Linked DNA regions of Cricetulus griseus. The protein of the gene in region 2 interacts with the protein of the main gene of each other region in a biochemical or structural test. Links are inferred from orthologs where the notes say so. Each region holds a gene or a part of one and is shown on either strand. Other genes may lie near its edges.

Evidence for each region.
Region 1: the proteins of Ralbp1 (region 2) and Synj2bp form a complex in vitro, tested with the Homo sapiens proteins (2 studies listed by BioGRID and IntAct, with this or other methods). The link is inferred for Cricetulus griseus from reciprocal best matches to the Homo sapiens genes RALBP1 and SYNJ2BP.

What each region holds. Positions count from the first base shown.
Region 1 is NC_048598.1:122,170,747-122,181,169, reverse strand, and holds the start of Synj2bp (synaptojanin-2-binding protein), read right to left. Parts: upstream 6,240-10,423; 5' UTR 6,115-6,239; coding exon 6,051-6,114; intron 1-6,050. UniProt on the Homo sapiens protein: Regulates endocytosis of activin type 2 receptor kinases through the Ral/RALBP1-dependent pathway and may be involved in suppression of activin-induced signal transduction.
Region 2 is NC_048595.1:454,805,944-454,815,692, forward strand, and holds part of Ralbp1 (ralA-binding protein 1), read right to left. Parts: intron 4,649-9,749; 5' UTR 4,596-4,648; coding exon 4,352-4,595; intron 2,648-4,351; coding exon 2,204-2,647; intron 965-2,203; coding exon 615-964; intron 1-614. UniProt on the Homo sapiens protein: Multifunctional protein that functions as a downstream effector of RALA and RALB. As a GTPase-activating protein/GAP can inactivate CDC42 and RAC1 by stimulating their GTPase activity.

The DNA.
Region 1 (10,423 bases), on a different chromosome or scaffold from region 2:
ATTAAGACTGAATCTATGAGAAAGGTGGATTCCACAGTTACACTGAATATTCTCCACAATTCAATCTCTACTTACCTTGGCAATTTCACTCTTGAATCTCCTAAACAAAAGTTCTCCTATATCCAGACTGATTTATTCACTGATCTCTTAGAAATACACTTTACTAATTTTCTTCTTGCTATTATGGCTAAATCAATACTGACCCCTGATCCTGGCACTAAAGCCTTGTCCTTTCTGTAAAGCCACTAAGTTCAACCTTCTAAACTATCAGAAGGGCCCTTAGCTCTACACTTTGACCTTTTCCAGTATGGCATCTAGAATGGTTTATCTTTATTGCCAATTGTATTTTAAATGACCTAGGAAGCAAACTTTTGGCCATGTTTATGAGAGTGTTCCTGAAAACCTTAACAGAAAGGAAGACTTGTCCTGAAGGGAGGTAGACCCACTCTATGACCTGGGATCTAGACTGAATAAAAAGGAGGGGGGGAGAATGAGCAGAACACCAGCATTCTTTTTCCCTTCTAACTGTAGAGGGAGTATGACTAGCCACCTCAAGTTCCTGCTGTTGGGCCTTTACTGCCATGATAGATATTGCCCTCAAACTATAAACCAAAATATACCCTTCCTTTCTTCCTTAAATTGTTTTTGTCCATATTTTGCCAGAGTAATGAAAAAAATAACATAGAGTCAGACTAGCATGCTCTTCCACACATATCTCTGCCTTTGCCTTCCTGCTACATATATACCTCACAGTCCTTAACCACATGAACATATGCAATGAGATTTAACCCTGTGCATGTGAATACTATGTCTCTATTGTATTATAAATTCCACAAAGGTCTAAATTTTCTATAGCCAGAGAAAACAAAGCAAAGATATAGCACTATAGTCTCAAGTCTATTTAATAGATGTGGGAAGGAACAAATCAGAAAGCCATTAGCAACTGCAGTTAGCAGTTAGGGGAAGCACATGACTGAAAAATCGTAAGTAGTGTAATGTTCTGTTTTCAGGTTCTCACCTCAATGTGCCTGCAGATCTACCAATATCAAAATCTAAAAACTTTCCACAATGGATTTTCAAGTTATTTTTTGTTTTTTGTTTTTTTTTTTTTGCATGCATGCATGTATGCATGCATGCATCAAATCCCTCTAGAGAATAAGGCATGCTATAACAAAATAAAAGCCAGGGGGAAGGTTAGCAATCAACTTCTTAGGTACTGTGGTGGGAGGAAATATCTGGTACAGTAGAATCAACAGGTCTAGAGTAGAATCTTCTGAATCTTACTGGTCTTAGCTCTTGGGCAAGTCTTTAACTTCTCAGATAACTTCTCAATCCAATAGTATAGATTAAATACCTATCATTTAGTGGTTCTATAAGAACTAAAATAAGTCTATGTGACTATAAACAGAGACTTATTTAGCCAGGACAAAATATAAAATACAAGTACAAAATATATAGCAATTAGCACACTTCCAGAAAGATACTTTCTTACTTATTCTTTATTAAAGTATTGTGTTAACTATCCTTTCCTTTGAAAGGCCTCTAAAGACTGTAAGGAAATGGACTGTTTCTTCCTCCCTTTCTAAAGATAGCAGATTGCAAGTAACTTGTTGAAACCCACTGAGCCCTTATGTCTGAATAGTGGACCCCAATATTACTCAGTTGCAGTAGAACTGCCTTTGCACTCAATCTCTGGTACAGAAAATAAAAGTTAGATTAGTCTTGTCATGTTGCTTAGAGCAATGAATCTGCACAACTTGGGATTTCTAGATTTCTAGATGTTATATAGGAAAAAGTGAGATCCTTCAAGTACAACCAAGCTGAACTTGTTCGTAAAGGATAAAAATGAACTGTTCAACCTTTGAAACATAAGATTATGACTACTGCCTTTAATAATTCTTTAGATCACCAGCCAATCAAAAACTGGCAGAAACTTGGGGACCAGAGAGAAGCTCAGCAGTTAAGCATTTGCTGCTATTGCAAGGACCTGGGTTCATTTCCCAGTACCCACTCAGATAGCTCACAACTACCTATAATTTTAGTTCCAGACTTTTAGCACTCTCTCTGGCTTCTGTGAATGCCAGGCACATATATGGTATACATACTAATACAGGCAAAACACTCATACAGATAAAAATTTTAAACATCTTTTTAAAAATGATAGAAATCATTTAAAATAACATGAGAAATGAGCCCAAGTACAAAAGCAAACAGTCTTCTGAAGTCAAAGACTGCCAAGACATTCCTTACAATGATGAGGAAGTAAGCACAGGACAAAGGTCACACTACATGCCATTTCCTTTTCACTCCTTGGACAGTCATTTCATTGTTGTGATTTTCCTATGACTGTGGGTTTGTTTGTCTCTTTTTTCAGTAGGTTCAATTGCTTTACAAAACTGCAAATATCCAAGATTCGTTTCTGACACTACTCTGGCTCAAAAAAGTAATCATACACATATTCACCCAATTAAACCAGACAATGCTGCCTATATACAGAATTGTATACTTAGAACCAGAGGCTTCTCATATTTCTCCTGTAGACAGAAAGACTCCTATGCCACTACCAAAATTACCCCCAAGTTTTTAGTGGTAATGGCTGGCTTCTTCCCTGTGTATCTTCGTGATGTCACCATGAAGACCCTGAGACCTGTGTGTATCTTCATGATGTCACCATGAAAGCTCTGGGAAGTGGTAAACCTTTCCTCATTTACTGAATGAACAAATTTCCAATGATTGTTTTTTGACAAATTCAATCCTAAATTAGTAATTACTTTTTCCTAGAAGTTCATGATTTGCATCAATGTGATGGTTAATCTTGGGTTTGCAATTTGACTGGATCTGGAATCAATTAAGAGACTAGCCATAAACAAACATATAAGGAATTTTCTGGATCAGGTTATTTCAAGTGGAAAGACCCACCCTAAACTGTAGGCGATACCATGGATATGCAGTCCAGGTGGAAAGCTTGCTTTTTAAAGCTTTAGTTCCTTCACACTTCCTTGGTAAGTTTAATCACCCAGTTGCTTGAGTCCATTTATCCTACTGCTGCTGCCTAGTTGCTACAACATTTCTTCCCTGCTATCAGAACCCAGTGTCTTGGGGCTTCCAATATGGACTAAAAGCCAGTGGCTCTCCAGAAATCCTCCAGATCTTCAGCAACAGGTTGGATCTGCTGAGGCATTCAACCTCATGGGCTGAGTAACTACCAGGTTCTCAACCTCCTCACTGTTGGACTACTTAGACCCATCTAATAAATCTCCTTTTAATATACATACTCATTCTATTGATTCTAGTCCTCTACACTTATGAAAGTTCCAGAAGCCACTCAATGGATAAATTCATTCTCTATTTTTTAAAGAAATAACTACAACACAGAAATTAAACTGCTTTGTGTAAGAGCATGTTAATTAGATATAATTTAATCTCTTATTTAGTCTCTGGGCACTTTCCCTAGCTCTAATGCTTGATGGAAATACTAAGAGTAGAAACTTTAGATCTGTAAGAAAATTGCTTAGAAATTAGACAATGCCCATTAAAATGCCCAGAGGTTCAAACAGTGATATTATGTTGAATTTAGTGCTTAAACAAGAATAATAATATCAGGAATCTGCTCTCATCGGAAGACCCTGGAAATACTGTAATACCACTGCAAAGAGACTATATCATTAGGTCCTTACCATTAGGCAAAAAACAACCTCAAACATCATAAAAAGTAGTATCATGCAAGTATATTTAAAGAACTAGATGTCATTATGTACTTGCAAAGCAATCAGAAAGGTGTATCTCAACTGATCCTAAGAAGAGAAGATGAAAAGTACACACAAAAAAATGGACTTTTATTTAAAGATCTGAGGCTGCTGAGTGAGATGGCTCAGTGGGCACAAGCACTTGCCACCAACTCTGACAACCTGAGTTCAATCCCTGGGACCCACATGATAGAAGGAAAAAACTGACTCCTGAAAGTTGTCCTCTGAGTTCTACAGGCCTCCTTGCCCCTCACACAAATAACTAAATAAATGCAATAAAAATTCAATTTCTACCATGCTAGCCTAAAAAGTAAATAAATATTGAGAGAATAGTTTTCTAAAATAGGACAAATTCAAACACTTGAGCATATTGAAAAGTCTTTGAGCAAAAGTTTTTGAGTTTATCTTAGGTTTTCTATTGCTATGACAAAACACTGTAACACAAGCAACTAAGGGATGAAGTGATTTATTTAATCTTACACTTTCAGGTAACATTCCATCATAAAGAGAACTCCATCAGGAGCCTGGACGTAGCAACTACAGTAGCGCTACTTACTGGCTTGCTCATCCTGCTTCCTTACAATCTAGGACCACGTGCCCAGGGTGGCACTGCCCACCGTGAGCTGATCATCAAACATCAATATCAATCAAGAAAATGCTCCACAGGCCTGCCTACGGGCAATCTGATAGAGGTATTTTCTCAATTGAGGTTCCTTTTCCCAGATAACTCTATCTTCTGCCAAGTTGACAAATGAAATAAAAAATAAAATCAACCAGCACTGAGCTTCTGTATAAACCACAAAGATTAGCAGTGTGTTACTCCCATAAATAAGACCAACTTCCAATTTTCTCCCAACAGGAAGACAAAAAGTATGACTAATTCTGAAAGTTGTGTTTTATACAGAACACTCTATCAGTAGTGATTAAGTTATTGCAAACTTCCAGATGAGAAAAGTTGACAGAATATTCTAAGTAGAATAAAAATCCACAGTAACCAATGATTTATTCAACTCTTGGAATACTGTATTTAGCAGAACTTACTGGGGTCAGTCTAACCATTCATTCACTAATGATAACAATAATAGCAAATACACATTGCTTACCATATGTCAAGACAATGTTCTAAATATTTCTCAGGGCGTAACTGGCTTCATCCTAACACTATATGTCAAACACAATGCACTTCATAACCATCTCCACTCTACAGACAAGAACCTATAGCATACATCAGTTAAATTACTCTGCCAATGAATTAAAACCAACCAGACAGACTGACAGACAAACTGGTAAGTTGTTAGATAAAAACTTGGCCATAAGTAGTTAACCCTAAACCTAAAAATAGTCCAAGGGAGACAACAGCACTATGTAGTCATGTTTAAAGGCCAGTCTGGCGCCGGGCGGTGGTGGCGCATGCCTTTAATCCCAGCACTCGGGAGGCAGAGGCAGGCGGATCTCTGTGAGTTCAAGGCCAGCCTGGTCTCCAGAGCGAGTGCTAGGATAGGTTCCAAAGCTACACAGAGAAACCCTGTCTCGAAAAACCAAAACAATAATAATAATAATAATAATAATAATAATAATAATAATAATAATAATAATGCCAGTCTGGCCATGAGCAGCGGTGAGGAAGACACAGCAGGGCTGAGTGGGAATTTTCCTGTCAGAATCACATTTAGTATTTAAAGAATTGTTTAATCCATACTGAATCCATATCCCTAAAAATGAAACTAGAAAATAGCCTTTTCGTTTTAATTCATTATAAAAAAAAATGTAAAAACAAAACAAGCCCAAGTAATTCTGGGGTGGCGCTAGGTCTGGAAACTTCTGTAGTGGGTATCCTCCTGCTTTAGCATTCCAGTTGACACTGTAAACTAATTTCCCAGAAATGCAGACAGGGACCCTAGCACCAGGGAAATTGCTATGCATTCAGAAAACCACGCCGTTTACCGCTCTCGTTTTTACCTGAACGGGCCCTCATATAAACAAGGATGATCCAGGCAACTGAATAACGGATGTGGCGTCCACTACAGGCTGTCTAAGCAGCGGCCGTTCGTCTAGACTTTTCTATTACTACCAGCAAACAGAAACCCTTCCTGGCCCTAAATGCCTGCGGCACTTTCCCTGGGTTGTGAGGCCGAGTCCCAGGGTCCGTTATCTAGCTAACAAAGGATGCCAATGGGCTCTTTCGTCGTGCCCGACGGCGTTCTTGGAAGCAACTTGGTCGGGCCGGCCTGCTCTCCAGCCAGTAAACCTGGCTCCGCAAAACCAACGAGCTCAGCAATGACTCCCTCCACGTCCCGCGCCTACCCGAGGGTCCTCTCGTCAGGTTGATCTCTTCCTCCGTAACTATATAATCCACCCGTCCGTTCATGTCTGACGGCTCACCGGGCGGAAGCCCGGGGTCAGCTGGAGCTCCGCGCAGGTGAAGGTGAATCAAGCTCCGCGCCGCGTCCCCAGCATAGCTTTTACAGTTTCCTAAGCCGCCGGACCGGAAGAGGAAACCGCGGGCACTGGGAGCGCCAAGGATGCTGGGAGTGGTGGTTCTCCGCGCCCACCAGCGTTTTCCGTTACCTCGCCCCATTCCCAAGGCAGATCCTGGGGTGCCATGAGTAAGGCACAATGCTCACCTACCTTGGGAAAGCATGTGGGAAGGAGGGCACGGAAAGAGGGTAATAAAGTTATGGTTCGTAATTAGATTGATACTGTTGATATTTTAAATAAAATCTCAAAATATCCACAAATGTAAAAAAAAAAAAAAAAAAAACAGGAGGATTTTATCTTATGAGCTTCAAACCATACTGGGAAAGGCATCACGGGCAAACTACTGGTGAGATTGCATATTTGGGCAGAAAGTTGTACCTTTTCCTTTTGTGTGACGTGGGTACAGCCCAATACATCCATGCCCCGTGTAAAAGAACTTGATAACACTGTGTCATGTTCATTCGCTGGCAGTTCACTCTGTGTTAATATAATTTATCTACAGGGGGAAAAAATACAACCTATCTCCCTCCCTCCCCCACCTCGTGTGTGTGTGTGTGTGTGTGTGTGTGTGTGTGTGTGTGTGTGTGTGTGTGTGTAGTGTTCACTGCTTAAAGCAAGGCACCTACACTGACACACATGACAGGAAACTGGAGCACCATACGACTGACAAGACACTTTGTTTAAAGTATTTGCTGCAATATATTCCTGGTTTGTGTCTTTAGCAGGCTTATCTAACTTAAGAAATGTGTATACATACAAAGATACAGAGAAGGGATTAATTAAATTATAGGCTTACTCAAGAAAAATACTCCAAAGCAGGGGTGGAGGGTGTGGAGGTGGGGGTGGAAATGTCATTTTTTTGACAAGATGATTGCAGGACTTAAGATGTGACATTCCTAGCCCTCTTGACTTTTGAAATAGGACATTCCAAACAGGTTGAAGGAATTTTCAAACATCAAAAGATAAAAAAAAAGCCTTAGGAACCAGGAAGGTGACCATAAATGTATATAGGGTGAAAAAAGGGATTGGTTACTGGAGATGTTAGAGAATTGAAGAGTGAATATCACCATAAAGGTATTCTACCTTACAGTTAAAAATCGAGCCAGCAACCACTGTTAATTAATCAAAACAAGTCAGAAGTGGATTCTATATGAATGAGACAGGATGGGAAGACAGGGAACCTATGAGACATGGGAGGGGCATCATCTCAGAGTCTGAGTAAAACCTCTTGCCAGATGAGCAAGGACTCTATCATAATTAACATTTGCTGCAAAGGCTACTGACATGTAATTAACATTTATTTTCTGCATAGATATTGTATGAAAAATTGGCAATGGCCTAAGCTTCAGATCTCAGTTTGTATGGCCCTGGGCAGGGCCTCATTTCTTTGTCTAGAAATTGCTTGAGAATCTCAAACCAAATGTAACTTTGTCTACAGAAATATATCCTACCCTCCTTTATGTTTGTAGGACTACACCCCTACTCTGTCGACTGTAATCCTGTCAGGTGACCCTTTACAACCACACAGTAGTAAGATAGTAACTTCAAACTGCACATAAACCTCACACATGACTCCTGCAAAAGCAATGAACACACATGCTTCTGAGAAGCCCATATCCATTCTCTCCACTGTGCCTTATTTTCTTCTGAGTGTGTCATTTCCTAATCCTCATCATGAGCATGAATTAAAATTACTTTAATAAAACTGTCACCTCTGCTATTAAACTGGCTGTCCTTGAAATTGATTTTCATTATCAAAGCCATGAATTCTGGTCTGGCCCAAGCTGAGTCCTTAACATTCTAGGGAACTGTTTGGGTTGCTGAGGGTGACATTAGGGGTCTGTACCTCCTTCACATCTACTCCCAAACACTGACAAGATGATCTCTAATTCATTCACCCAAACAAAACATGAAGGATGGAAAAAACAAAGACGATGCCAACTAGCCTTACCTCAGCATTCAGTTACCACTCTTCCACTTAGCTGATTTAAAGAAGAAATCTAACATCTCCAAACTCTGTTTCTCCATCTCTAAAAGGAAGTGATAATAGCTTCTTAAACTTTGTTTGAATGATTCAATTAAGTGAATTTTCTTTTCTTTTGGGGGGGGATTTGGTTTTTCAGTTTTGGTTTTAGAAGATGGGTTTCTCTGGGTAGCACTGGCTGTCCTGGAACTTAGTCCTTAGAGCATGCTGGCCTCAAAATCAGAGATCTGCCTGCTTCTGCCTCCTGGGTGTTGGGATTAAAGGCATGCACCACCACTGCCAAGCTCTAAAGTGAAAATTTCAAAATTATGTTTATACTCTTAAAACTCAATCAGATTGATTACCTTACTTGTAACATTCATTCCTCCACATACTTTCATAAGATGAGAGGATAAAGGGAATAAAATGATCATGAGGCAATTAAAATTGAAAAAAAGATACAAATAAGTGATACTGGAATGTCAAAAGATAAGAGATCAACTAAAAATTGGGAAAGGATCAAAATTCTCCGAAATTCTCAGGGGATCAATAAAAAATGTTTTTGATGCCTGGCGTTGGTGGCACACACCTTTAATCCAGCACCCGGGAGGCAGAGGCAGGCAGATCTCTCTGAGTTCAAGGCCAGCCTGGTCTCCAGAGCGAGTGCCAGAATAGGCTCCAAAGCTACACAGAGAAACCTTGTTTCGGAAAACCAAAAAAAAAAATGTTTTTGAAAAGAGAAAAGATGAGATCAGGTGCGTTCAGGGTGATATGGCCCTAGGCATATACCCCAAAGAAGCACATTCATACAAGGACATCTGTTCAGCTATGTTTATAGCAGCATTATTTGTAATAGCCAGAACCTGAAACCAACCGAGATGCCCTTCAACTGAAGAATGGATAGAGAAAATGTGGTACATTTACACAATGGAGTACTACTCAGCGGAAAAAAACAATGGGATATTGAAATTCGCAGGCAAATGGATGGAACTAGAAGAAACCATCCTGAGTGAAGGTAACCCAGTCACAAAAAGACAAACATGGTATGCACTCACTCATATATGGATTTCGCACATAGAGCAAAGGATTGCCAGCCTATAATCCACACCACCAGAGAAGCTAGGAAACAAGGAGGACCCTAAGAGAGACATACATGGTCCCCTGTAGAAGGGGAAAGGGACAAGATCTCCTGAGCAAATTGGGAGCATGGGGGAGGGGAGAGGGAGCTAGGAGAATGAGAAGGGGAGAAGAGGAGGGATGGGGAGGACATAAGGGAGCAGGAAGGTTGTGTAGGGGGAAGAATAGAGGAGAGCAAAATAAGAGATACCATAAGAGAGGGAGCCATTTATAGGTTTAAAGAGAAATTGGGCACTAGGGAAATGCCCAGAGATCTACTAGGATGACACCAACTAACCATCTAAGCAACAGAGGGGAGGCAACCTTAAATGCCCTCCCCTGATAATGAGATTGATGACTGTCTTATATGCCATCCTAGAGCCTTCATCCAGCAGCTGATGGAAGTAGAAGCAGACACTCACAGCTAAACACTGAACTGAACTGGAATCCAGTTGCAGAGAAGGAGGAGCGACGAGCAAAGGAGTCAAGACCAGGCTGGTGAAACCCACAGAAACAGCTGACCTGAATAAGGGGGTGCTCTTGGTCCCCCGACTGATCAGTGGGAAACCAGCATAGAACTGATCCAGATCCCATGAATGTGGGTGTCAGTGAGGAGGCCTGGAAAATCTATGGGGCTTCTTGTAGTAGATCAGTACTTACCCATAGCATAGGAATGGACTTTGGGAGCCCATTCCACATAGAGGGATATTCCCTCAGCCTAGACACACGGGGGAGGGCCTAGGCCCTATCAAAAAGGATATGACAGACTCTGAAAACCCCCATAGAAGGCCTCATCCTCCCTGGGGAGCAGAAATGGTATGGAATAGGTAGGGTGTTATTGGGGGGCAGGGGAGAAGGGGAGAGAGAGGGAACTGGGATTGACATGTAAAACAATCTTGTTTCTAATTTAAATTAAAAAATAAAATTAAAGTAAAAAGAAATCAAGATGTTACCAATGAGGAGATTTGGAATGCAAAAAAAAAAAATCCCACAAAGTTTCTTGCAGACTGGGATAAAACCACAATTCTGTACTGAGAATATCACTCTTTTTACTTGAGCACACATCTTCAAAAGAAACACATAAGGCAGTGAACTCATTTACAAAAGTCACTAAATGAGT
Region 2 (9,749 bases):
GGGCTACACAGAGAAACCCTGTCTCCAAAAACAAAACAAAAATTAGAGCTACTGTCTCCTTCATTCTTTTGACACAGAAAAGTGTCCTTACTGTAAAGGCAAACTCAGTCTTTGATAGCATCACTGAGCAGTGATGGAGAGACAGGAGGCGGAGGCCAGGAAGGTGGCTTGGTCACTAAAGTATCTATCGTGCAGGCCAGGAGGCCCAAGTTCAACCTCCATAATCCACGGGGACATGGCAGTGCACAGTTGTAATCCCAGTGCTGGGAGGCAGGGACAGGAAGGTCCCTGCAGCTTGCTGGCCAGCCAGTGGGGAAAAAAGGTGGATGGTTGGTGTTTAAGAACAATACTCGAGTTTGTCCTACAACCTCCACACAAATATGCACACATCGACACGTACAGCCACACACACACACACACACACACACACACACACACACGTTAAGTCCCACATAGGAACTTGAACGCACATATACAAAAGGATGCCAGATATGTATGCCAGGCTTGTCCATTATTTGCCTTCTTGGATTCACCGTTTCACACGCAGCTCAGCATCAGACTCCTGCTAATTTCCCTGTGTCAGTACAAAAGGGGTGTGTAGCCAGAACGCATACCTGGACGGTTGGGCTAAGCACTATGGAGATGTTCTGGATATTCATCTTCGTCTCCAGCTCCTTTGCAATCACATGGTCCATGTGTACAATGAGCCAGGAAATCAGAAGGTGGTTACACTCAGGCAGCTCCTTGAGCAAGCGCTGAAATTCCTGCACTTTCTCTGTCTCCGTGGCCCTCCCACAAGCCTCTTCGAAACGCGGCATAAGCTCTTTGGTAAGCAAATTCTCCGGAAGGTCTCGCAAATACTGCTTCAGCAGACTGGCTACAGTGTTAGGTTCATACTCTTCCAAGTTTGGAGACTCCTCCCGGTCATAGGCTGCTTTTAGCTCATCTACCTTTGATTTGATTCCTAAAAACATGAAATTGACAAGAGAGAGAACAGAAGAAATCAGACATGCTGCAGAGAATCGGGGCCAGCTAGTAATGTGGCTCACAGCTGTAACTCAGCACTCAGAGGCTGAGGCAAGAGGACTACTGCCTGGTTAAGGCCAGCCTGGGCTACATAACAATGCGGGCAGAGAGGAGACACACTGTCACAGATGAAAGAGTACACATGCAAGCCATCAGCAGGAGACCTCCCCCACGGAGCCCTCACAGACAAGAGACAATCCATCAGGAATGAGGGATTCTCCAAAAGATGCAAGTATCAAAGACAGATCAGAAACAAAAGACTCTTTGAGCAAAGCTACAGAAAATTTTCAGAGAAACTTGCACCCCCAAAAAATGTCTTCAGATCATGTGGGAAATAGCTTCTATACCTGTGTAAACCTTTAAAACATTTCAATACATAATAAATACTTAGAAATCATATTTACAACTTTGTGTTTAACTTTATATGGAAGTAAGGAATTACAAACTTAAATGCACTGTGTGTTTTACTTTCTATAGAATAGTAGCAATGCAGCATTTTATCTACTGGGTCATATTAAATGTTATCCCAAACATCAAATCTATCTGCTGGAAAGAATATGAACCAATTAAGTGGAAAATTTGCTTAATATTTCTCTTTGTTCTAGACATGTATGACTCTCCTGCCCCATGAAGAGACGTGTGGTCAAAGGGCAGCACAAAAGTAACCTTCTACGCAACAGAATGGCTGGTGCAGACACTGCCCAGCTTGGGACCTGAACCCCAGGTTAGCACAAAACTCGTGCTGCTTTTGAAGGAAGAAATCTCTGTACTTCTAAATAATGTACAGGTTGCTAGATTTTAGATATCCAATATGAAACACATTCTGACCAAGTATGAACTACAATGGTCACATAAGCTCTGTAGATGAAGGGGTCACCAGTTTCGTTGACATCTGCAGTAACTGTGTACACCTGACACAGCATTCACATTCAGGGCCCAGCTACTTAGAAAATGACACTTCTCATCTCTAGTCAGGCTCAGGAAACACAGGACAAGGCTGTGTCATTAACCATATCTCTTGGCTGAGGCTTCCTTCAACAGATCTCAGCCTCCCCACCACTGGGCCCAGGGAGAAGACATGACAGGCTTGGCACACCACCCCAGTAAGTGACACAGCCCATACGCTTCACTCCGCCCCGTCGCTGCAAGCGAAATTAAAGTGAAGTGTCTGCGATACCTGAAACCCTGTAGACGCCTTCACACTTCATGCCATGCTTCTCCATGAAGTCTATACACTCACGGAAGACAGCTGGCAGGCGAACGCCATCGTACATCATGGTCCTCTCGACCGCATCAGCCAGCGGAACGCCAAAAATGGGCCTGAGACTCGGAACATCGACCTGAGGCACCTCGGGCTCCTGTATGGGCTTTTTCTTTTTCTTCTTTTCCTTCCACTGTTTAACGACGTCGGCCGCCGTCAAGTCTTTAGATTTCTTTTCTTTATGCTTGTCCTCCTTGTGCTTTTCTTCTTTGGGTTTTTCTTTGATTTTAAAATCCTTCTCCTTCTTTTTAGAGAAGCTGGGTTTCTTGAACACATGGATTCCCTTGGACCTCTTCATCTTGGACGGACTTTCGGCTTCATCTCCAGAGCTGTCTTCCTGGAAGGCGGCATAGCCTTCAGCTGCCAAAGAAATGCAGTCCATAAAATCAATCATGCTTTCAAAGTCAACTGTCCGCATGCTTCCTGAATGCAGCTTTCCCCTCTGGGGCCTCCAGAAAACCATCCAAAAAAAGTCTGTGACAGCCAATAACCACAAGAGGGCAGCAGACAGCAGCTATCCTCTCAGTAACACCATATGCGAGCAGAGTTCTGAGACACCAAGAACACACACAAAGCAATGTTATGTTTCATGAAACATAACATTGCTGCTGCTGCTGCTACTGAGCTACCCTGCCTGTTTGTCCCTCTAACGGGAGGCACACATGAAGCGAGAACATCTGAGATCAGCACGTTGGTTTGTGTGTGTGCCACCTTTGCTCCCCCTCCCATTACTCCCTTTCTGGGAAAACTGGAGCGGGGCACACAGACCCTTTAAACTGAAGGCTGAGTGTGATTATTCCCTCACTTTGGCTGACACATTAGAAGTAATTCCTGCATTCTGACAAAGACACTAACTGCCTTAACACCAACTGAGAACTGCCAGTTTGCTTTGGTTCTCGTTTGTTTCTAGGATGAAGTCAGTCTCACTGAGCACAGATAACAACCCTGCATCAGCCTCGGGAACAGTTCAACTAAAGCATGTGTGCACCGCTCACCTGGCTGTCTCTTTATAGTCCGACATGCCTCTGACTGTCCTGAAACTCACTGTGTAGACCAAGCTGGCATCCAACTCAAACAGATCTGCCTGCCTCTGCCTTGGAGTGCACCACAGTGCCTGGGAAATGTTTTCATATTATTATTTTATGTGTGTGTTCACATCAATGTGTGTTACACGTGCCTATGGCAGCCAGAAGAGGGCATCAGGTCCCCTGGAGCTGGAGTCATGGTGGTGTGAGGTTCTGGAAGAGCCTCAAGCTCTCAGGAAGCAGAGACAGGGGCATCTCTGAGTTGGAGGTGCTCCAGTCCAGGACAGTCAGGATTACACATAGAAACCCCATTGCGAATGACCAAAAGCAAAAAAATCTTAAGAGCAAACACTATGATGTAAAGCTGACCCATAGCTGCAGGATCCCCACGACTCAGGACAGCAGGACAGCCGAGTCTCTATGAGGGTCCAGTATTGACACTGCAGCGAAGCCAGAGGCTTTGACCTCACCTAAGGACTCATTGCAAAGAACATTCACAGGCCAAGCGGTTTGGGCAAAAGGGTGTACCGTGCGATACGTCATAACTTCCAAGGCCACTAGGAAGAACAAATGGTGTGCGGTGGAGATGCAGGAAGGATGGAGGGGCAGAGTGGCCATTAGAACGCGGCTGACAGCGACAGGAAGGCCACTGCCCAGGGGTCCACCAGCTTTGTTTCTTTGTTTTCCTCCTTTTCTACTTTTTATTTCAAAGATTTATTTACTATTATACAGTGTCTTCTGTCTACAGGTCAGAAGAGGGCACCAGATCTCATTACAGGCGGCTGTGAGCCACCATGTGGTTTCTGGGAACTGAATTTAGGACCTTGGGAAGAACAGCCATTGATCTTAACCTCTGAGCCATCTCTCCAGCCCCTTACTTTATTTTATTTTTTATTTACTTTTGAGAGGAGGCTACAAGGGTGGAAGGTGGGCATGGAAGGACTGGGAAATGAATGGGACTGGGGTACATGATGTGAAATATCCAAAGATTAATACAAATTGTTATAATTTTTTAAATAAAATGAAAATCAGTACTTACTCCTTTTTTCTTTTTTCTTAAATTTCCCTTTTTTCTTCCCATGGTCTTTCTCATCATCCGACACTATGTCAGGGGGCTCGTGGAGGATGTCATGAGGAGGCGAGGGCTCACCCGTCCGGTACAATCCAGGAAATTTTGTAGGGCTGATCTCCTCAGAGCTGGGGGTCCGGGTCAGCCCACTGCCATGCTCCGCCCTGCGGTGTTCACTAGGGCTGCTGGTGGGGGGCAGGAAGCACTCGGTCATGCTGATGCCCTGGCAGGAAAGGGAAGCTGTCCTCTGTTACCTACCCATCACACCTGCAGGGAAGAAGGCGCCTGCAGTCAGCACACACCACCCGACAATCAGAACCGCTGTGGACACTCAGCCACGAACCCTGCATTCACTAAGGAGCCCCCCCCCCCATCTTGTATCACAAGGTACATTCCAGGGGTCATATACCTCAGTTCTCAGAACTCAGATGCCTGTAATCCATGCAGTCAGAAGCTGAGCTACATGTCTGAGGCCAACCTAAGCAACACCGCAAATCCCAGACTATTTTGGGCTACACAGGGAGCCCCTGTCTCAAACAAAGAAGTAGGAATAATGAGCTCCTTTTGGAAACAACATCTCTGGATGCAGTGGTGGCGCACGCCTTTGATCCCTGCACTCAGGCTGAGGCAGGCAGATCTCTGTGAGTCTCAGGCCAGCCTGGTCTATAGAGTGAGTGCCAGGACAGCCACTAGAGACATTGTCTTTTAAAAAATTACTTAAACCAAGCGTTGGTGGCGCATGCCTTCAATCCCAGCACTCAGGAGGCAGAGGCAAGCGGATCTCTGTGAGGTCGAGACCAGCGTGGTCTGCAGAGCGAATTCCAGGACAGGCTCCAAAGCTACAGAGAGAAACCCTGTCTCGAAAAACCTAAATAAATAAATACTTAAATAAATAAATTTAAAAAGAACTCACCAATATAAAGGCTTCATTTTAACAGTTATTCAACATAAAACCTTAGTATTTTTAAACTGTGCTCCATCCAAGCAACCATCAATAACAAACTCTAAAAGCCATACAACTATGCAAGAACAGCTGATGTGTATCTATCACTACTATTTACAATGGCAACAATCTTTAATGGCTCACACAGTGGGAATAACAAATCTATTCTGTGACGGTTATACCAAAGAAACAAAGGAACCTCATTTAACCAGCCCTGCATAGGAGGTGCACTGTCTCACTGCAGTAGACAGCATAAGAGGCATTCAAATTGGTTGCTTCTCCTTTTAGTCAGAGTATACACAAAGTACTGTGTTCAAAAGCTACTTAGAAGCTGTGGTCCACACCTGTGACCCTAATCCTCAGAAGTCAGAGCCATGTAGTTTCCAAGGTTAAGGCCAGCCTGGGATAAAGAGAAACAAGTTAAACGTCAGCCCAGGCTGTACAGTGACACCTGACCTTAAAAACAACCAACAAAAACATTTTTGATTTTTTTTTAATTTTTATTTTATTTTTTGTTTTTTTCAAGACAGGGTTTCTCTGTGTTAACAGTCCTGGCTGTCCAGGAACTTGCTTTGTAGACCAGGCTGGCCTTGAACTTACTGAGCTCTACCTGCTTCTGCCTCCCTAGTGCTGGGATTACCAGGCATGGGCCACCAGACCTGGCTCTTGGTAATGTTTATGGTATATAAAATGACCGTAATAAAGCTTGAAAAAAAAAAAAAAACCACAAAAGGCAAGCCTCTGCAGCCCTTCCCCAGGCCTCTCCCTAGTCAGCCACTCCATCCACTACCCCCAGGCCCCGGCAACCTGAATGCACCTATTTGAATTATATACTCACATATCTTTCTGCCTTGTTTGCTTAACACAACCCAAATATTCAATGTCTACTTAATAAACTATTATGTTTCCAACATGTTACTGCTGTTAAAATGAAGACACCACAAAACTTGCCCTTAACTTTCAATTCCAATTCAAAAAAAAAAAAAAAAAAGAAAAAAAGAAAGGTGTGTGTGTTGGGGGGGGTCTTTACAGGAGTTCCTCAGATTTGGGGAATTCATATATTAATACACTTAGCAAAAGCTACAGGGAAATTCATGGTTTTCTACTTACAAACAGAAAAACTAAGGGTAATTTCCCCAAATCATACAGCTAAAGATCAAACACACATTCTTTGCACAACACGGGGTGCATGTGTACAAAGGTCAGTATGAGAAATAAAAACACAAACAGGAGCACATGGGCCTTCTGAGATAGCAGAGGACACTGGCCCGAGCACAGAGCTTGTGAAGCTAAAGGTGGGCAGGGGGTAGTGGGCCATACCTGTAACCCCAAACTCGAGAGGCCAGGGCTGTCAGAGAGCAAGCTCCAGGTCCACCAATTCACACAAAAGCTAAGCCCAAACGTACTGAGCACAGCCTAAGAGCAGGAAGACCTGCAGACAATGCCAGCTTGTTTTTTGTTTTTTGTTTTTTGTTTTTTTTGTTGTTGTTGTTGTTTTTAAGATTTATCTATTTGATGTATACCTGTGTGAGAAAGTGTGCATGCAGTCCCCATGGAGGCCACAAGAGGCCATCAGAGCTCCTGGAACTGGAGCTACAGGCAATTATGAATTACCCAAAGGGCTTGCTGGAAACCAAATCCAGGTCATCTGCAAGAGCAACAGCTCCAGTCCCATGCAAGGCCAGATTTTGACATTCAACCCCATGTTTCCAAAGTATTTTAAAATTATACCTATATTTACATATAATCCTGGCTCACTGTTATTTTTAATAAATTTCCATACTAAATTGACAAAAATAAGGGTTTTGTTCATAAAACAACAGCTGTTGTAAAACTACCCCAAAGAATAATTTATTTAGCCGGGCGGTGGTGGCGCACGCCTTTAATCCCAGCACTCGGGAGGCTGAGGCAGGCAGATCTCTGTGAGTTCAAGACCAGCCTGGTGGGGCTGGAGAGATGGCTCAGTGGTTAAGAACATTGCCTGCTCTTCCAAAGGTCCTGAGTTCAATTCCCAGCAACTACATGGTGGCTCACAACCATAATGAAATCTGGTGCCCTCTTCTGGTATGCAGGCTTACATGCAGGCAGAACACTGAATACATAATAAATAAATCTAAAAAAAGACAAAAAAAAAAAAAAAAAGACCAGCCTGGTCTACAAGAGCTAGTTCCAGGACAGCCTCCAAAGCCACAGAGAAACCCTGTCAAAAAAAAAAAAAAACAAAAAAAAAGAATAATTTATTTATACTAAGGACTGAATGTGTCTCCCCCAAACCCCGACATAGAAATAAAATCCCCAAGGTGATAGATAGTGTTGGAGATGCAATGTTTTGGAAGTGCCTATGTCATTAGGGCAAGGGAAATCTGAGTCTTCAAGAAGGACTGAAGAGCTCAGAGCTCACTTTTCACTACAGGACACAGCAGCAGGCCCTAGACGCTGAATGGGAAGCCAGAACCTTGATTGTAGACTGCCCAGCCTCCACAGCAACCACAGGGCCAGTGTTGGCTTCTGTTAACTCAAATATAGCTGCAGAGGGCTTCAGTTAGGAGCAGAAATGAAGGACTGTGGGAGTCAGATATGAGTGTTTGAGCTGAAGAGAGCCACAGCCAACTGGAACTTTATAGATGAGTAGAAAAGGGAGAATTCAAATGGTATGATGCAGTAAATTAGGTATAAATATCCAAAGGCAAGATAATAAATAACAAGCCTCAGAAATCCCCCTTTCTAATGCAAAAGCAAATCTGGTATTTTCTTTATTTGAATAATGAGATATTAGATATTCCTCCTAGCAAGAAAATTAAAAATTCTAGATAGCAGATTTCTCAAAAAGACTATGGAAGGAAGACAGGTGGGTTCAGAACCTAAAGACAGGTGAATTTCCCAAGCTTCTGTGCCTTCTTCCATGCTCCTCCCCCTCTCTTCTCCCAAACCCCTCCCCCTCTTCTCCCACGCTCCCCCCTTCTCTTCTTCCACGCCCCTCCCCTTCTCTTCTCCCAGAGGTAAACTCTTTCAAAACACAATCTGTGTTGGCCAGCTTTCTGTAACCTGACACCAGCTAGAGCCATCTGGGAAGAGGAACTCTCAATTGAGAAGATGCCTTTCTAGCGCTTGCCCAATGGGCAGGCCTGCAGTGCCTTTTCTTAATGAGCGAGGGCCCAGCCCACTCTGCACAGGTGGTCCTGGATGGCCTACCCAGCCATGGGGAGCAAGCCAGGAAGCAGCATTCCTCCATGGTCTCTGCATCAGCTCCTGCTCTCTGGTTCCTGTCTTAAATTCCTGCTCTGACTTCCCTTCAGTGATGGACTGTTAACTGGAAGTATAAACTGAAATAAACGCTTTCCTCTTTGGCCATGGTATCTTATTGCAGCAACAGAAACTCTAAGACACCACACTATAACAAAGTCTTGAGGTAAGTCAACTTTTCAGATAAGTTTATTACATCTCATGGTTTCAAGGGATTTGGTCCTGCTCTGTTAGGCCTGCCTTGAGGCAGTTAAGTCATGTTAGAGAATAGTCCTCAGCAAAGACACCCAACCACCCACCCACGGGCAAATCAGGAGAAAGACAGGAAGTGACTGCAGTCCTGCTCCCAGTGGCTCCTCACTAAGCCCGTCTCTTAAGGTTTACCACTTCCTAATAATGCTGACTCAGAAGCCAAGCCCTTAGGACATGGGTTCCTAAGGAACCCTCAAAAATTTAAATTACTCCAAAGTCCAAACCAAAAACTTGCTAAAGTTTACAGTTCACAACCCAGTGGGCAATAAATTCAAGGGGGAAAAAAAAGCTCCGTGTCACTAAATATTCAAGAAATGCAAATTAAAACATCTTAAGCTATCCTAGTCATCGTGCAGAATGGCTAAAATTTAAAGGAATGACATGAATTTGAGGTACCCAGAAATCCAAACCCTGAATGATGGACTGCGGGAATGTGGAGTTCCACCACTTTGGATAACTACCAGTATCCGGGTCAGCATACCTCCCTACATGACCAACAGTTCCACTCATGAACATCCACCCAAGAGAATTAGAAACAAAAAGACAAAAAACGATCAGAGCAGACATTGCTAAAATCAAAACTAGCCAGGTGCGGTGGTGGTGTACACCTTTAATCCCAGCAATGGGAGGCAGCCAGACTGACAGAGAAACCCTGTCTCAAAAAACAAACAAACAAACAAACAAAGAAACAAAAAACAAAAAAAAAACAAGAGTCTAAACTAGAAACACCACGAGAAACTTTGAACCCTGGCATCCTGACTAGCAGATTCTGCTCTGACTTCTGAGGGGTCAGGAAGAGCCAGACACGAAAACAGCATTATGCTTTGAGGTAAATATGAAACACATTGTCTTAGCACCACCCTTAAGATATCTCACAGCGTTTAATGCAAATATTCCAAAATCTGGAGGGAAAAAAAAAAAAAAAACACT